Linked DNA regions of Arabidopsis thaliana. The protein of the gene in region 4 interacts with the protein of the main gene of each other region in a pairwise test. Each region holds a gene or a part of one and is shown on either strand. Other genes may lie near its edges. The genes, in order: FER1, SHY2, AXR3 and MOS6.

Region 1 (4,235 bases), on a different chromosome or scaffold from region 4:
TACAAGTATCCAATCTTGATTGTTCCCGTGCGAGGGACTTCTTCGTCATTATACAAATAAGATTCTCAATCTTTACTTAATGCTTAGTGGTTTGAAGAACCATGATGAAAAGATAAATCACTAAGGGAGAATCTGTACATGAAAAGCTTAATGGTGTTTTCATACGTCATGAACTTCTTATGGATACTCATTTTCGTACATTTGTCAGCTCTTTGTAGAACAGACAGGTCTTTGTTTGGTTAGAAATGATTTTCTACTGTTCAACATGGAATCAAAGTAAGAGCATCTCTTTTGCTTTGATGTGACAGTGATCTTGTTCTTGTTTGCTGTTCAGTTATATCCCAGTGACCAGCTTGTCCTTCTCGGTGGAAAGTGACATACGCTTCATGCTTCTTTTACATGTTCTTCATAAACAGGTTCGTTATGCTTACTCTTTCAAGTTGGATCATAAATATTCTATGTTTAATTAGATAGGTCTGAGTTTTCACTATTTTCTTAGTTACGCATTGTTTGGCCGTAGGTTTATAGCTAGTTAGAATATACTAAAACAAAAACTTCATTGATTAAGCTTACGAAGTTATTACAAAAACCATCTTGAACACAAAGCTTACTACTACAATCTTATTAGTCCATAATGTTCAATCTAAAGCTTTTACAGAATCTTCGGGTTCTTCTGTTTTAACCCCAACATTGGTCATCTGAAAGTGAACTTATAGAGGTCCAAGTCTAGTTCAGAAGCATCTGGTCGAAATGCCAAACTCCTGCAAAGACAGAACAAATGTAAATAAGCTTTTAGAAATACCATTCAAGTCTGAGAACACTATCTCAATATAGGGTTTTGATTCGTACCGTGGCCTTTGCCGATCATCCTTAGCTGGGTGATGTAGTCTGAGATCTTCTTGATTGCTTCAATCTAGAAATAGTCCATAATATATTCTGAGTCAGAACATGTACAGATTATACAAGTCACTAGTTGTAATCCGAACAAAGGCAAAAGAACTTTTACCTGCTCTCCCAGAAATTCACTCTCAACGAAATCAGCTAACTGGGGATCATTGTTCTCTGAGGCCACCTGTTTTGTTGGCCAAAAGTACGTGTTAGTTAGTATTAGGAAAATGACTATAAGTTTAATCTTTGATGATCAAATGGATAAGTTAGGGAACTTACTTTGTGAACGTTTAGAAGCTTCTCATTAGTGAGTTTCTCTAGAGACAGAGCCAACTCCATTGCTGAAAACAAAGATTAGTAAACTAATAAATATCTGTATCTTTAAAAAAAAAGAAAAGTTGTTATTTTAGGATTAAGATAGTGTATTTGCTTAAAGTTTTACCATATAAAGCATCTCCTTTTTCAGCATGTTCGAATTCTGAGATAGGTGAGACGATAGGGTGGAGTTTCACTCTTCCTCCTCTTTGGTTCTGTATAGAGACAACAAACCAACAATATGAATATTAACTAAGTGAATCACAAGTCTTTATCAACTTTTCTAAAACAGAAAAGAAGGTAAAAATAGAAAACCTGGTACTCCATAAACTTCTCAGCATGCCCTCTCTCTTCCTCACTTGATTCCTTGAAAAATCTGGTGATTATAAAAACTCATGTTTAGTATGGACATATATATCTCATTTTGAAGTATACGATCAAGATTATTATAAATAAGATTAAGATTAGAGTTAGAAGGTAATAATTACTTGGCTAGTCCCTTCATAGCAACGTTGTCTCTGTCAAAGTATGCGTACATTGAATGGTACACATAGGAGACGTTGTATTCCACACTGTAAATAGAAAGCAACCTCCTCCGTTAGATCTAATCTTTAAACATTTTCGTTTCTTTAATTAGACAGAAAAGAAAAGAGAAGCTTACTTGATTTGCTCATTAATGACTGCCTCGCTAGCGTCGGCAAACCTCTGGCGAGCGAGAGAGGCATGAGATGTGATTGGAATGGCCAGATCGGCTTTCTTCACCTCTTCGAAAGGCTGGAACACGACTCCGGTCATCGGCATGTTGTTTGTGTCCACCGTAGCCGCTGCAACGACCACTGCTCTGCCGCCGCCAACTTTCCTGGAGAAGCCGAGAGAAACCGACGGAGAAGCAGAGCCGTGAGGGAGTAGTGGCTTAGGAGACAGAGCGGGATTAGCGGCGGTGAAAGACGAGAGTGCGTTTGAGGCCATCGTTGGAAAATGTAGAAGAGGATAGTGTTGAGCCGCCTGAGATTTGTTGTAAGAGATGGTGATGATGATAAGAAAGAGGAAGGAGGAAGGGTTTATATAAGAGGGAAAAGGCGTGTGGTCACCGTTGGATTGAGATCCACGTGGAGGGTGGATATGAAAGCCAGATGTAGGGGCGTGTGGCGGCCTCGTGCTACATCCAATGGGATAGTGTGAACGTGAGGATATTCGATCCACGTTAACATCTCTCCAAATAAAGTTTGTCTGTTTCTCTGCTTTCTCTTTTATCCTCAGAATCTTTTTACCATTTCCGGTTCCTACTCTCGCGTTGCCACTTTCTTATTTCCTACTCGCTCTCTCCTATTTTTCGAAATGTATTTTTTAGAGTTGTAGATGATAACAAATACAATTGTTTACTATAAAAAAAAAAAAAGAAAAGATGATAGCGTTTCCAACATAAGTTAGACGTGTAAAATCCTGTGACACATATTGACATAGGAAATCGGATAGAGATAAAAGTATTTCCATATTGTTTTTATAAAAAATCATCAAGCTACTAGAACATAAGATTGAGAATGGTCCAAACCCTTTAAGACTTTCCGTATTATGTGGCCTAATATTCATAATTTACAACAAAGAAGGAAAAATTCGTGGCTCTCTAGGATATTTGATGGAGACGGAAAACTGATATACAATTATACATAGGATAGAGTCGCGAGTAGCTCAACTCCACGTAATTTCCAGCTAAAGCGCGTGAGAGGTTCCAAATGGTTCCTTGTCTTTATCGGAGACAATTACACGTCGGAGTAAGTACATTGTGGGCCTCATTAGTAATGTCACGGCCCAAGTTAAAAAATCATATCAAATGGTTTTTCTAAAAAGTTGTAATGTTGGCAAGGACAAAAATTAAGCATTAAATAAAGTGTAGTTAGGCTTGGTTTTATTTTATTGGCTTGATTTGAATCGATTCGTATTACTCTGGAATGCACAAAGACAAGGGTAGGCTATAAAAGTGTTAAAGAGCTTAATAATATTTTCGACTGTAATTACAAATTTAGCTGAGGTTCGTCTAATAGACAAGTAAAATCATGGGAGGAATGGCAAAAAAAAAGGATTGATTGTAGTCTTTAATTTTACTCTGTTTTGTGCCATGTGGTTCTTCAGTTCCCAAGTTGTGTTGCACCTATTTAATCTGATTTTCATTGAAGGCCCAATAGATAGATAGTCAGTCCCAAGGAGGAGTGATAGGCAAGTACTTTTTTTTGTAATTTGTACAGTATAATGCTGCCTGCTTGCTTCAATAAATATATTGGTGTTTATGTATTTGCCACATGTCATAAGTTAATTGGCTGCAGGAATAGTGCACAAATAACGAATCCAACGGTGCGAGAGTGGTGGGTTCCCAAAATTCTTTCCCGGAAGAAAAAGAAAGAAAGTCGTCCTTCGTTTTCTCAAAATCTTCTCTATCCTTTCTCGAGAGAATATGGATCAGATCTTCAACAAGGTTGGATCCTACTGGTTAGGCCAAAAGGCTAACAAGCAGTTTGACTCCGTCGGCAACGATCTCAACGTACGTCTTTTTTTGACCCATCCTATAGAATCTGATTCATCTGTTTTCCTAATCGATTTTGATCTATTGACGTGGTTCCGATATAATCAACCACCTTTATCGTAATTTTGGTATCATGCAGTTGTACGAATGTTTTGAGTTCATTGTTAGGTAAATCACGTCACATAAGGAAGAACATCTAATTACCAAAACCATGATATCTTAAGAAATGATTCAAATATATGATCCTATAATGTCTTCTCTTCTTGCTCATGTGGTTAGATTATTTTGTTTGAAACTGTGATCTTTTCTAACATATAAAACAATGTTTTTGTTTATGCCAGTCGGTGTCAACGAGCATTGAAGGAGGAACAAAATGGTTGGTCAACAAAATCAAAGGTTTGCTTTTTTTTATTCTTCTTCTGACTGCATCTTTCAATTTTTTGTTTTTTTGAAATTCCCCATTTGTCATCATGTTGACAGGGAAAATGCAGAAGCCGTTGCCTGAGTTACTAAA
Region 2 (3,638 bases), on a different chromosome or scaffold from region 4:
ATTTATCCTTTAAAAAACCAAAACAAATCATTTTTGTGTGATTAGTTGTTGTAGCTAAGACATTGTCATTTTATTTTCAGTATAAGTTACTAAATTCGTTTATATATATAATTAAATTGCAAAGTATGCTACAGTATGACATATAATGAGTGCAGAAAAATAAAAGATGATGCCATAATACTATAGTGAATGAGAAAAGCCTGCGGATATTCATGCCTAATAAAAGTCTTTAACTCCTTATGGATAAGATATATATGGGAATACAAAACATTTAATTTATATTTATTTTTTATCTTACGTTCCACTGACGGATTATAAATAAATTTTTTAGGAAAAACTTTATATTTGTTTGTGTGTGCAAACTTTATATTACATATATTAGTCATCAAATGCTTCTATATATTGTGACCAATTCACAAATAATGATATAAATATATATATATTCCCATCAGTTTTTCTTGGTATAAATACAATTAATTCAATTCAAACTTATGACCTGTTCTGTCAAGAAAACGAATCTAGTAATTTATGACTGAACCAAGAAGAGAATGTTTCTCACCGTACAGAAGAAATCAATGCGTGATGAGTACTGAGTAGCTGTTAGCAGTCACCTCTAATTGTATGAATTTATTTTGTTGAAATATGTTCGTTAATCGTTAGTACTTGTTGAAAGTCACTACGTACGTATATATGTAGATAAAAAAAAAAAAAAAATTCTTTTAGGATTATTGTTACACGTATAATGTAAAGTTATAACATAAGTTCTTAACAACTCTTTGCATAGTACCGATTCGGACTTCGATTTCGAAAGCCATGCATGAGAAAACCAAAAAATGGAGCCAAAACTTAGATCCGGTTCAATTCGAGTAGGTTATGTCAAAGACGTAAACATCTACAATAGGAGCTCCATATAAGTAGAATACAACCAATGCCACGCTGTAACATAAACAAAGACAGCGAGAATCTGTTAAAGATCTCTCAGGTTCCAAAACAAAACTACAAGACCCCATTATGATGTTACTGACATTTAACTAAAGCCTTGTGCTAGTTGATCCTTAAGGAAGATGTCCTGTCGTGATGCTCAGTTTTATTTCAAATTCATATATACGTGTGTGTGTGTGTGTGGTGATCATGATTAATAGGTTAGAGACAGAGAGACAAAAGTTGTGGGCTTTAACAAACCCCAGTAAAGAACAATAAGTAATTTTGTCACGTAGGCTCTGTTTTTGGCTCTTCAACACCCAAAGTACCTGTTTTTTGAAGATGTGAGACATAAATTATTACTTATGATCTCAAGTCAATAAACTCATCAAATCTGAACTACCCACAATCCAAACATTGAACACTAGCTACCTTTACATATAGAGTTAATTAACCATCCATCTATTGAGAAAACGAGTAAAATATGTATTCGGTTGTTGTTCTTGGTAAGAAAAGATTATGAGCTTACGATCCGAAATTTCTTGGTTGTGATAAGTTATTAATGGGAGATAGAGAGAGGTGATATGCCCATATGGCATACCACATGTGGTGGGGGATTCGAAGATTTGATCTGGACCGTCTATCACAAGAAAGAAAGATGAAAATATTTTGTTTTTGGGTTTGGACAGATGGGAGAAAAAGAAAGTGTCCCCACAAATGTCCCCAAGAAGATGGGACACACTTTTGCCTCAAAGTTGCTGTTACTGCTACCGACAAGCTTAGCTTTTTTTCCTTTGTCCTTAATTCAGAAAACAGTTTCTTCTCTCTCTACCAGTATCTATCTTTATTCTCCTTTAACTTGTATAAAACACTCAGCTTCCTCGAAGCCTCTCATCTTCATCATCAGCAGCTTCTCTATATCTCTCCTCTCTTTCAAGGATAATAACCAAAAGCTTTTCTTTTTATCTTCTCCTGCAATTCTTGAAGAAATGGATGAGTTTGTTAACCTCAAGGAAACAGAGCTGAGGCTGGGATTACCGGGAACAGATAATGTATGTGAAGCAAAAGAGAGAGTTTCTTGCTGTAATAACAACAATAAGAGAGTACTATCAACTGATACTGAGAAGGAGATTGAATCATCATCAAGGAAAACTGAAACATCCCCTCCTCGAAAGTAAGTTAAACTCACACAAAAGTCTCTGAATCTGTAGTGGTGGAGAATTCAGTTGATTGACCGTGTTTCTTCCTTTTTGCAGGGCTCAGATTGTTGGATGGCCACCAGTTAGATCTTACAGGAAGAACAACATTCAGAGTAAGAAGAATGAATCTGAGCATGAGGGTCAAGGAATCTATGTGAAAGTAAGTATGGATGGTGCACCATACTTGAGGAAAATAGATCTGAGTTGTTACAAAGGATACTCAGAGTTGCTTAAAGCTTTAGAAGTGATGTTCAAATTCTCTGTGGGAGAGTACTTTGAGAGAGATGGATATAAAGGTTCAGACTTTGTGCCTACTTATGAAGACAAAGATGGTGATTGGATGCTCATTGGTGATGTTCCATGGGAGTAAGTCTTCTTTCATATACCTGTCTGAAAACAATTTCCACAAAATCAAAAATCAGAAACAACAATTTTGTAAGTGTTCTTATGGGTTCTGTTTGTTGTTGCAGGATGTTCATATGTACGTGCAAGAGACTAAGGATCATGAAAGGATCAGAAGCCAAAGGTTTAGGCTGTGGTGTATGAGATATATCTTCAAGAAATCTAACAGAGACACAAAAGAACTTGAAGAAAAATAGAGTTTCTTTTGGTTCAGAGAAATCTCTGTCTGTGCTTGGGTTGTCGGGTTTCTCGGGCAAGATCTATGTTCATTGGATTGAATCCAATTCATAGCCTTTATTTACCTCATCGGTAAAATTCAAATGTAAACATGCTTAATGGTCTTAAGCATATGAAACTGGAACCTAATTACATTTTGTTTCAGAAACAGGGCAAAAGGTTGTCCTTAAATCTTTGGTTATGTGTATTACATTAATTAAAGTGTTATGAAGATTGAAGAGTTGTTTTTATATTTGTAGCAATTCTGTTTTGCGTTCTCATTGATCAAAGAGATTTTCAAGCAATACCCATTTTCTATTTTGGTTCACTAGTTCTTAGATCATATTATTGATGGTCGAGGTTGGATTACTCCCATTAATTAATACAATTCGATCAAAGCCAACATGAACATAAATCAATAGAAACAAAAAAAAAACTTATCTTATATGAGAAATACGTTTTGCCCAAAGCTTAGGGTTCATTTCATCAGCCAAAAACAACAGACACCTACCTCTCTGCTTTCATGGCAACATATATATACGCATTAGATCCAATCAGAAGATGTAAGACTAGACAGGCCGTAGTAATGAGTGAAGCTTTTGGAATTGATGAACTGTGTTACGAGCTTCTTCGTTTTCTCAGACATGGCGGGAGAGACCTTGTTCACGCCTGAAACAGCAAAACGAATAATATATAATCAGCTTGTAAAATGCAGATTCTTTAGTTATAGAGTTTGAAAGATTGATGCAAATGTACCAATAAGACTTTCAACAAAAGTACGAAACAGAATTCCAGGAAAGAGTCGAGAGAAAACTCACCTGTAGCTTCTTCTTCTTAGGCCTTCTCTTCCTCTTGGGTTTGTGAGCATCAGAATTAGAACTCAAGTTGCTACTCTGACTT
Region 3 (4,918 bases), on a different chromosome or scaffold from region 4:
GTAATTCCATATTTCTAGTGGTTTTTCATTTTTCATTATAGAGAGGATATTTGTGTATAATTATGATAACCTTGTTAATAAATTTAGTTGGTATAAAAGTTAATATTCCTAATTAATTTAATGGGAAATTAAATGATAAACAAAGGTAATGAAATGAAGAGACCCATGAATATGCACATGGCATTGCTCCCTCTCTTCCCTATGGGTCCTATTTCTCTATTTTATTTCCTCCAACCAAAGCCAATTATCACTTTAAGTACCAACAAATCAATATACCAACAAAGTGAATTTTCCCCATTTTTGTAATTATATTCATCTGATATAACATATGTATATTGTAATATTGTAATTCTAATTATACCGACTTCGAAATTATACTTGGGGAAAGTTTACTTTAGGGTCAAATACTCGATCGCTATGATCTTTAGTTTCACTTTCAAGACGAACCAAAAGAATACTGTTCTGCCTTTAGAAAATAACTGACTATTAAGAGACTGAAATTAAAGAGAAGTAATGTGAGATTAAATTTTCCATAGTGGAATAAAAATCACATATTCCTTATACGAATATACACATCTTTGGCAAAATAAATAAATAAAGACAAACATATACATAGGAATAGGATGTTCAAATTATTACACATTTTCCATTACAAATGTCTCAAATATTTAACTTAAGTTCATTACACATAATAGCATACAAACTATATCTACATACCAAATCCAGATCAAAACACAGACAATCAAAAGAAACTGAACAATGTATTTCATCGTAAGAAAAAAAAGAGCAATTAACACCAATCAATGTGTTAATCAAATATATAATCGATACCACTTATCCTTTTAATTTGACTTCAAGCTCTGCTCTTGCACTTCTCCATCGCCCTCGGAGCTGAAATATTTTTACAATTAATAAGCAAAGACATTTGACCACGGTATTTATTCTGTTAAAAGAGTATATTTTTTATTCCCTCTGTTATTTAATCTCTTTCTTTTTTTGCATTTGACAAAAGAGAATCAAATATCATGTATTATATCAATGATTTAAAAGATCAAAGCGATAAGTTTTCTTTCGACAAATTTGTTCTTTACGGTAGAAATATAATTGTGCGAAAAATAATGAACGGTTTAAGCGTTTGATGATTAGACATCATCTTAAACGATAGCATATTAAATTATTTAGGCGACCAAGTTATGCGGTTGAGGTGTACATTATAGTAAACTTTTAAGCTCTTTTGTAAGTTTTTTTTTTCTTTTTGGGGCAAATCTCTTTTGTAAGCTATTTTAACTATATTGTATACATATACACGTAAATTTTAATTTAAATGGGTAACAAACTGAAATCAAAATTTAATCAATGTGAATATAATATGCATTGGTAGAAAATACATACCGAGACCAATGGCATCCGATCCTTTCATGAGACGTAAACGCTTGCATGTATCGACGAACATTCTAATAAATAAAAAGATTAAAACAAATGGTTATTTATTAGAAACAAATAAATGACATAAACAAAAATAAAGCTCGAATTTTAACCGAAACAATAAAGCTCTAATTAAATGGTAATTAATAAGGGAGAAGAAGAAGACGTACGGCCAAGGAACGTCGCCGACGAGCATCCAATCACCGTCTTTGTCTTCATAAGAGGGAACATAGTCCCAGCTATTCACCAAATCCATCAATTTCCTCTCATTCATGAAGTCTATCATTCCTTCTTCTCCTCCATGTTTGCCTAAAATAATCTTAGGTATAAGAACTTGATATCCTGAATTTAAACTTGGTGGTTTTCTTTTATGGTGCAACAAATGAAATATACATTTTTCGCAATTGGATTTTATCACATAGTTTTCTTTTCACAGTTTCTAAACTACTACTAACGGGTTACTCAATTATGAAATATTTGTATACTCGATAACGGTAATTCATTTGGGACTGATCTATCATCATGATGATTAATTTTTCTTTCTATAGTAACAATTAATTAGTAACTAAATGTGCATGGAAGGATCTACATATATATATAAGGAATATACTTATAAAACGTACCCATGGTAAAAGAGCTGAACATGTTGGACAAAGCATTAGAAAGCTCATCGTAGCTTTTATACATCCTCAAATCGATTTTCCTCAAGTACGGTGCTCCGTCCATTGATACCTTCACGAACGCCGCCGCCTCCGGGCCACCGCTTGATTTTTGGCAGGAAACCATCACGTTCTTCCGGTATGATCTCACCGGTGGCCATCCCACAACTTGTGCCCTATATTTTTTTTAAAACGGAAAAACGGTTATGTTATACAAGATATAGACTGTAGTTAGCTTTGACGTGATGTCACATAAATTTTACTTGCATGAGACTATGGGTTAAACATAATTAAATATATTAAGACATTGGACGATTTAAGAAGAGAAAAAAACCGTAGACATATGATAAAATGGTTTTGGCGAAGAAAAATATATATCTTTAATGAAATTTCTGTTTTTTTTTGCAGTCACCTTTACAAAAATGTTAATATTAAGAGCAGTAGAGAAGAGTGGAAAATAAATCATAAAGGACAAAATAGTAAAATTACTTGGCCGGAGGTTTGGCTGGATCTTTAGGACAAGCACTCTTCTCCTTGGAATCAAAAGTCACGACGTCATGAGTCGTAGATCCTTCCTTGTTTGCAGGCTCATTATTCAGATTTAGCTTCAGATCAACCGTCTCTGAGAACCCTCTCTTGTTTCCGGTTACCGGAGCCACTGTATCTCCACCGGGAAGACCAAGACACAGCTCAGTCTCCCTCAGATTCAGCTCGACACTGCCCATCATTATTAACCTTTCTTCTTCTTTGGTGTTCTTCTTCTTGGGAAGGTGATGAGGAAGATGGAAAAATGGTTTTATAAAAACACTCAAATAATACAAAGTGAGATGAGTCTGTATTATATCTCTGTCTAGGAGGTAGCTGCATGTGTATGTCGTATTTAAGAGATCTTTGATTAAACGGGTTTTAGACACGTGGATGAATCTAAGCCCTTTGATTAAGTCATCATCCTCGAGTTTTAGTCTTTTAGACTAATCAGTAATCACTGTTATTACTCTATTACTGTTATTGAATCTTTCTTATGATTTATCTTGTAGATTATGTATATATTATTGCATTTGACTATACAAAATGGATATATATTTTAATCCGTCTTTAATCGTTTTTCTCCCGTTAAAAGAGATATATAACATTTTGAGATTACAAGCGAAAGCACAAGTGAAGGAAAGATTTTAAAATTACAAGTGAATTATGAAACACATTCGAAGCAACCAAGTGAATTAAGTGGTGATGAACCGATTAATTGATATGGGGTATCTAACTAAATATATGTATATACCATATGGTCTTAAAAACTATATCAACGTATAGTTTATAAATATATATTCTTTTGAGTGGCGAGGTCGCAGACATCTCATATGAGAGTGTTACAATAGAGATGTACATTATTATTAATATAACTATATTATGCTTTTTGACTTCTAAATATAATTATTAACTAATGAATATATATTCATGATTTTGATTATTTTTCCCCGTAAGATTCTTCGCCGGAACCTTCCAATTATGCATATCACATCCACATGATTCAATTATTCATCCCACAATAAAAGCGCAGCCCTCTTGTATATAATTATTCTCATGCCAATACAAAATAAAGCATACGGTACATCTTCAATATTTATTGATTAAAAACTCACCTATAAACACGTACAGCGAAATGTGTATCTAGACACATAAAAACGCATCATTACTCTTTAATGTTTATACTTTGTAGTTAACAAACTATAAATTGCAATATTATAAACACCACTTTGTAGTTAACAATAAAATTGGTGATTAATTTTCTTTACAGATATTTACAGATTAAATTGACTACTAAAATATAATGTCTGTTTTTGATTATTGAAAATTATTTTTCTTCTTTTATATTGCTTGTGTTATTCTTGTAGTATGAAAGTTTTCAACAATAGGGTAGTTTTTTTTTTTTTTTGTAGTTATGAAAGCACCTAAATTTGTATTACATTTTCTATTAATTTGTCTATATTATCGCATTTCTAAACAAAAAAACAAATTCTGTCGCACTTCCAAAACATATTTTGTTTTTATTTCATCAATCACGCTTCCAAAAACAAAAATGATATGTTTTGGAATTGTATTTTCACGGCGCTTTTGCGAATTTTCAAACTTTCGTTCAAAATTCGACTTTAGTGATCTACTAGACACTGGTTTTAGTTCAAAGTAATCAGTTAGGCGTAAACTGTGAATACGGGACGTTTAAATAACACCAAGCGTACTAACCATAATTAACCAACGTAAATTCAATAAATATGAAAATAAAGAGGGAAAAAGGCATATTCCTACCCTAATAAAATCTATGAGAGGGGACATGAGTGGCATCAAAATCCAAAGGAAGAGAGGGTACAATTAACATCACCATAAATTCCAAAGCCAAAATTTAAATTAATGAGAAGAAGAAAAACATGGAGATGATAAAGGGACAAGTTACATCAAATAAAATTCAGGGGCGAAAACATCTTAAACCCTACTTTTGTTCCTTGCCTTGTCTACATCCTCCTCTTTAACCCTTTTCTCTCCTTTTGTTTCTATCCCAAAAAACTCTCATGAGTTTTCAAATCAACGTACCCCAAATTTTTCAATCGAATTTTGGGTCACTTTGTCTTATATATCACATCATTTTGTCGTGTTTTATCAATGTGTATCTACTTTGTCTGATCAATATATATATCTACTGATCACTATGGAATTCACATGAAATTGTAAACCAGTGAATAATATAAATTCTCGGTCCAGCCTACATGATTACAAAAAAATGCGCCCGCACACATAAATGGATTGTATGCGAAACTTTAATGAGATTGAACCAATGCAAC
Region 4 (5,677 bases):
CTACATCAACAATAACAACATATCACAAACAATTTAGTTGTGACTTGTGACAGCTAAGCTTGACATATATAAACAACAAAGTCAAAATATACCTCGGGGTCTGATGGAAAAAGACTAGGCTCGTCTCCATCGTTACGGGCATGAATCTCTGGATCAGCGGTTCGACCAGTAGAAGAAGATAGTCTCTTCGCATGAAGACGACGACCGAGAGTAGAACGTGCTGCAGCAAAAGCTGGTGAAGACAGCATTATATCTGGCTATGTTGTTGTTCTTGTTGTCTGTTGGATATAAAACAATGAGAGTGTTTTAAATACACGAATTAGTCACATAGCCTAAACCCTAATTTCTCGCATATAGAAATTATGACCATGATAATAACCACTTAATCACCACTAATCTCTCCTATTTGTAATTAGACACCAAAGTACCCAATAAAAACTCCACATGCGTATATTGCTCTTGAAGTTTTGACCGTTGCCTCAAACCTCCACAAGCGTATATTACTATTTCTAGCTTCTCTGTTTTCTAAAATTGCGAGTAAAAATGATTAACTATTGAATAAAAATGTTTCTGGTTTAGTTAAGGCATAACTACGATTTTGTAATGGCACTAATATATGAAAAAAGGGAACTTTGTTGAAAGACGAGATGATGGCTAACACAGAATAATTGTTTCTCTTCCCCAAATGATTTAGTTATTGAGACAAACTTCCAAAAAGAAAAGAAAATCGTACTATGTTTCTTCATAGTTCATGTCCACGAGTTAAGGAGTGGGCATGAAGAGATAGAGAAGATTGATATTTCATCTTTGTGATGTTACCACTTTCGTTCGATATGTGGCTTACTTAAAAGTCCAAGCAACTTCTATGACCCAATTCAACTATTTTACCTTTCAAATAAAGTTGAATTGACCAGGAGGAACATTGGTGCTTCCGAACTGGAAACCAGATTGTGGAGCATGATTCTCGTCGTTGCCTTCTTCTTCATTGTCTTCAGTCCAAAATGTTTCGAGGATCTTCACGGCTTTGTCGTAGATATCATTGTTGTCGTGACTCTGAAGATTCTCAATCTTCTCTAACCCTTCTGCTTCGTCAATCATTTGAGCGTAGAGGTTGTCTTCTCCTGTGTGACCTAAGTTCTTCTCTGCTTCTCCAACCACGAGAATGTTCTCTAGTGCTTCTAAGCAAACCGTTACAACTTTCAGATCTGGGCAAGTAAGGAGATCGCATAGAGGTTTGATACAGCCTTGGCTCACCATAAACCTGAGAAGAAACAAACAATAAACACAGACGTGTTTTAGAAATGACCATTCTTTGTTAAGGAAACATTTCGTTTCGGTTTTTATGGTTTTACTTGATTTGATCATGAGTGCCACCAGAAGTAGCATTTGATATTCCCCAAGCAGCTTCTTTTTTTACTTCGAACTCTGCACTTTGAAGCACCCAAACAAGAGACTGGATTATACCTGCATCAATCACTGCCTGCACATACGGGTTCGAATAAAATCAGACACAGGAAACTTCAATTTTCGACTTTCTTGTTAAATGCCATATATTATAAACAAAACTCACTTGTATCTGATCTGCATTTCCAGCTGTAATGTTGGAGATAGTCCAGCAAGCTTCCTTCTTGATACTCTTCTTGTAATTGTTTTTTAGAAGGTTCAAAAGACAAGGAAGCGCTTGCTGGTCGAGAACCATCTGTGTTAGGAAAATAAGTTAGAGACATTTGCTTCTGAAAACTCGAAATCGAATGGTGAATGTATTATATGCACCTGAGTCTGTAGATCATCCCCGGTTACAATATTTCCAATGGTACGAAGAGCAGGAATCAGCACTGATGGCGACGAATGACTATACGGAGAAAGAGGAAGCACATAAATCAGATAACATAATCATGCCTGGCAATAAAAATTAAAATGATCACTATCAGATGCTTACCCTAAGAGCTGGATGAGGCGAGGAACAACTCCTGCTTCAATGACTGCTTGTATTTTGTCGTTTGAATTATCCGAGAGGTATGACAGAGCCCAGCATGCATCTGTGAGAACTTCTTCATCCATTGATTGCACAAGGCGCTCAAGAACTGGTAAAGCTGGTTGTGTCTGCTCGAAAAATGTTTTAAGTAACAAAATATCAGAAGCATGTTAAAAAATATTGTGGAGATTCAATAAAGTGTGTATATTTAAGGAAACCTGTTCAAATGCGGGTGGGGGCTTCCCTCTGCAGAAGTTTGATAATGTCCATGTAGCATTTCTCAGCATTGAAAGCTTTGTATTCTCATTGAATTGAGACAGAAGAGGTGTCATGGCACCGTAACTTAGGACTAAATCCCGGCATTTTGGTGAGTCTCCAGCAACATTTCCCAATGCCCAAACAGCCTATACTCAGTCAGGGAAAGACCAGAACTCAGAATGGTAACAGTCTCAATGAATTTCCACTTGATCCTAATGTCTAAGTGTTTCTTCTGTGACAATAACGATAACAGTGAGGATTTAAACATATACCTGTTCGCGGACATCTTCACTAGCAGAGCTGAGAAGTTGGATGAATATCGGGACAGCTCCACTTTCAATGATGACATTTGTGTTCTCTGATGTCCCTGAAGCAATGTTGGTGAGCGCCCAAGCTGCCTCAAACTAAAACACATTGCAGAAGTAAACAGCAAAAGCAAGTTAACAAATACATCAAACTAGTAACTATCAATATATCCAAAAAAAAACGACTGCAGCTGCGACTCACCTGAAGTTTGGGGAAGTCATCCCTGGAAAGAAACTTCACAACACGAGGAACAACACCAGATTGTACAACTTCATTGATAGGAGGATTTTGTTCTACAAAAGAAAAAACAACTGCTAAAGACTCTAACCAAAACACTGATTGTTATGTACTACTAGTAACGATCAATAACATAAATCACAAACCAATAGAAAGCAGTTTCCGCAAGAGATTTGTTGCCTCCAATTGTGAATTGCTATCCTCTGACCAGATTCCAGCAACCATAGCAGGTAGATTATCTTTTAACTGTAACACGAAGAGACACTATCATAGTCAAAAATCTCCTCTAGCTAAAGTAAATTTGATGATCTCCGTTGAGATATCAACCCTAATTCTCTTTACATGTCAAATTCAACACCGCTCAAATTCCCAGTCAATTAAACAGACATTAGTAACAAATACTCTCACCAAACAACACATACACATCGCAAGTTTTTGCAATCAAATACAAAATCTATGACCAAAAACAAAGAAACATCGCAAGAACTTCAAATCTAGAACAAATCGATCTCCAATTAGAAATTCATATGAAACAGAGACGATCTAATTGATCAAATCGGAACATAAAATCAGAAAAAACTAAAGGTGGAATCGTAAACAAAAGAAAGAATCACATACTTGGTTCGCTGAAGAAAGATCCTGTTCCGTTTGTCCCGTTGCTGAGCCAAAAGCCATAGAAGACGTAAATCTCTTCTTCTGCAAATTTTCCTCTCTCTTGTTCTTCCTGATCTCAACCAAGTTATCCTCTCGCCTCCGCCGTCCTTCCTCCGCATCGACCGCTACTTTGTACCGATTCCGTCGCACCTCCGTCTTCGCGCTAGGTCTGAGAGACATCGCCGCTAAAATCGAATCGAAATCGGAAGAGAATTAACGATCGGAAGATTATTTAAACACGCCAAGTTCGATTAATGAGAGAGTGATAAGGGTTTTGGAGTTTGATGCGAGTGTATTTATACAAGAGCGTGTACTTAGGAGGCCACGATTCAGGAGACTTGTTGTTAATCCAATATTGCCCCTAAGTTTTATCATTAATAACGAACCTGCCACTCATATTTTTTTTCTTTTTTGAAATTTGAATCTTAACGTCTCTCTGCCTTTTTAGGTATGTATACACCGACTACTAATTATGGATTTGTTTTCCTTTATTTTCTCCACGCAAATATTCTTTTCTTTTTCTGCAGCAGCAATACTCTAATTTGAAGAGGCTTTTTAAAGCCCAAATAAATTATTACATAGGCCAAACTTGGCTAAAACAACGTAATTTACAAGACTGTACTCTAATTAAAAGGGGTAAAAAGATCAATGTGAGCAACTGAGCATTATGAGAACTTTACTAATTAGATGCTTTACTATTCAATGCATCTTGGAAAGACGAGAACAACCATATTGCTTGAATTCCTTTCAAATGAGAGAACAACTAAATTGATTTCTTTCTATTTGTGCCATCTTATAAACTTGAGTGAACGACCTCTATTCCCCTACGCAGTTTCACATAGTACCACAACTACACAGATTTAGAACTTCGTTTACAGTCAACACAAAATAGAAGGTAAATTATTATATCCTCCTAAATCGAAAGTTAGAGAATTTAGTCTCCACAAAACCAAATTTTGTAGTTTATTATTAGGTTAACGTCATAAACCTAATGCCAAACCAAAAATCTAGTATAATAAACCGAATTGCAACCGATTCAATTTACTCTCCACATCATAAACTTCTAATCTCTCTTCTTTAGCTTCCATGTCTCTGATTTTCTCTTCAAGCAAATTGGATTCTCAAACCAATAGGAAAATTCTAAATTATATTGGATTGTACCCATAAGTGAATTATAAACTTCTACTTAACTCATTATTGGGTTTTTGGTTCAAAAGAAAAAAAAGAAAAAAACGAATTGCTTGAAATATGACAACAACAAAGGCTTGTAGCTCAGAGTCATGTATATGACACCCTAGGAAAACTGCCAAAGAAGCTCAGAGTCATGTATATAATTTGCGTACAAATTCATCATCTACTATATCACTCACAAGAAGCTAGCTGCAATTTGGTTCTAGCATTATGACTTGAAGATGATATATAGTAAACCAAAATGACATCAGTTTTATAAATATATTTTAATATAGTTTGCGTACAAATTCATCGTCTACTATAAAAGTATACAATCAAGACTAACTGAATACAATATATATATCATTACTTAAATCATCGAAATAATAGACGAAAAAAAAAAATCATCGAAATAATCAAAGACAAACTCTGTGCACGTCTCCATGCATATATGTATACTCATGTAATATGACATTATGCTTCAGTGAATAGAATTACAATGTGCGATTTAGACCATCATCATCTCTTTAGCTTTGTAACGTTCTGTATAAGCCTGATTTTGCATCCTCATCTGTTCATAAAATCTCACAATAAACTCCTCAGCTTTCGCATCAATCATCTCATCACCTCCATCATCATTACCATAATTTTCATCATCATCATCATCTTCATCAAGACAATCCATATCTCGCAACGACTTTGCTGATCCATATCCCGAGATTCCCGAAGAGCAAGAACTAGACGTCGCCGTGAGAACCTCAACCATCTCCGATACCTGATCGTCACTACTCGCCGGAACTTCATCCGTCACCGGAGAAGATGATGGTGGTAGTATCGTAATATTAGACGACGATGGAAGTACCGTAACATTGTCGTTTTTCAACTGCCCAAAGGACTCGACAACTCGCCGCCAAAACCCGTTATTAAGCGGCTTGCTCCTCCTCCGACGCCGAAGCATGTATAAAACGACACCGATCACGTGAAAACCACGTGATCGTTTCTTCTTCTTCATATTCTTGATCTCTTCTTGGCCACCATTAATCTGATTTTGAATTTCCATATATAAGAATTAATGGT

Evidence for each region.
Region 1: the proteins of MOS6 (region 4) and FER1 interact in binary tests that used the Arabidopsis thaliana proteins (3 or more experiments, as listed by UniProt).
Region 2: the proteins of MOS6 (region 4) and SHY2 interact in binary tests that used the Arabidopsis thaliana proteins (3 or more experiments, as listed by UniProt).
Region 3: the proteins of MOS6 (region 4) and AXR3 interact in binary tests that used the Arabidopsis thaliana proteins (3 or more experiments, as listed by UniProt).

What each region holds. Positions count from the first base shown.
Region 1 is NC_003076.8:227,423-231,657, forward strand, and holds FER1 (ferretin 1), read right to left. Parts: upstream 2,630-4,235; 5' UTR 2,173-2,629; coding exon 1,865-2,172; exon of another isoform or gene 1,841-1,864; intron 1,776-1,840; coding exon 1,692-1,775; intron 1,580-1,691; coding exon 1,519-1,579; intron 1,419-1,518; coding exon 1,331-1,418; intron 1,230-1,330; coding exon 1,168-1,229; intron 1,073-1,167; coding exon 1,007-1,072; intron 914-1,006; coding exon 850-913; intron 762-849; coding exon 727-761; 3' UTR 531-726; downstream 1-530. Other genes in the region: AT5G01610 (hypothetical protein (Protein of unknown function, DUF538)), read left to right, coding at 3,653-3,739, 4,063-4,117, 4,202-4,235.
Region 2 is NC_003070.9:1,127,592-1,131,229, reverse strand, and holds SHY2 (AUX/IAA transcriptional regulator family protein), read left to right. Parts: upstream 1-1,540; 5' UTR 1,541-1,610; coding exon 1,611-2,095; intron 2,096-2,177; coding exon 2,178-2,486; exon of another isoform or gene 2,487-2,590; coding exon 2,591-2,666; 3' UTR 2,667-3,081; downstream 3,082-3,638. Other genes in the region: AT1G04230 (rRNA-processing EFG1-like protein (DUF2361)), read right to left, coding at 3,402-3,407, 3,557-3,638. UniProt on the Arabidopsis thaliana protein: Aux/IAA proteins are short-lived transcriptional factors that function as repressors of early auxin response genes at low auxin concentrations.
Region 3 is NC_003070.9:1,134,276-1,139,193, reverse strand, and holds AXR3 (AUX/IAA transcriptional regulator family protein), read right to left. Parts: upstream 3,117-4,918; 5' UTR 2,813-3,116; coding exon 2,574-2,812; intron 2,261-2,573; coding exon 2,049-2,260; intron 1,735-2,048; coding exon 1,596-1,734; intron 1,455-1,595; coding exon 1,393-1,454; intron 892-1,392; coding exon 854-891; 3' UTR 531-853; downstream 1-530. UniProt on the Arabidopsis thaliana protein: Aux/IAA proteins are short-lived transcriptional factors that function as repressors of early auxin response genes at low auxin concentrations.
Region 4 is NC_003075.7:949,993-955,669, forward strand, and holds MOS6 (ARM repeat superfamily protein), read right to left. Parts: upstream 3,699-5,677; 5' UTR 3,611-3,698; coding exon 3,395-3,610; intron 3,023-3,394; coding exon 2,923-3,022; intron 2,833-2,922; coding exon 2,741-2,832; intron 2,638-2,740; coding exon 2,506-2,637; intron 2,380-2,505; coding exon 2,194-2,379; intron 2,104-2,193; coding exon 1,940-2,103; intron 1,853-1,939; coding exon 1,774-1,852; intron 1,700-1,773; coding exon 1,571-1,699; intron 1,481-1,570; coding exon 1,353-1,480; coding exon of another isoform or gene 1,349-1,352; exon of another isoform or gene 1,262-1,348; coding exon 892-1,261; 3' UTR 554-891; downstream 1-553. Other genes in the region: AT4G02140 (uncharacterized protein), read right to left, coding at 93-248; AT4G02160 (cotton fiber protein), read right to left, coding at 5,109-5,660. UniProt on the Arabidopsis thaliana protein: Binds to conventional NLS motifs and mediates nuclear protein import across the nuclear envelope. Acts as a cellular receptor for the nuclear import of the virD2 protein of Agrobacterium, but is not essential for Agrobacterium-mediated root transformation.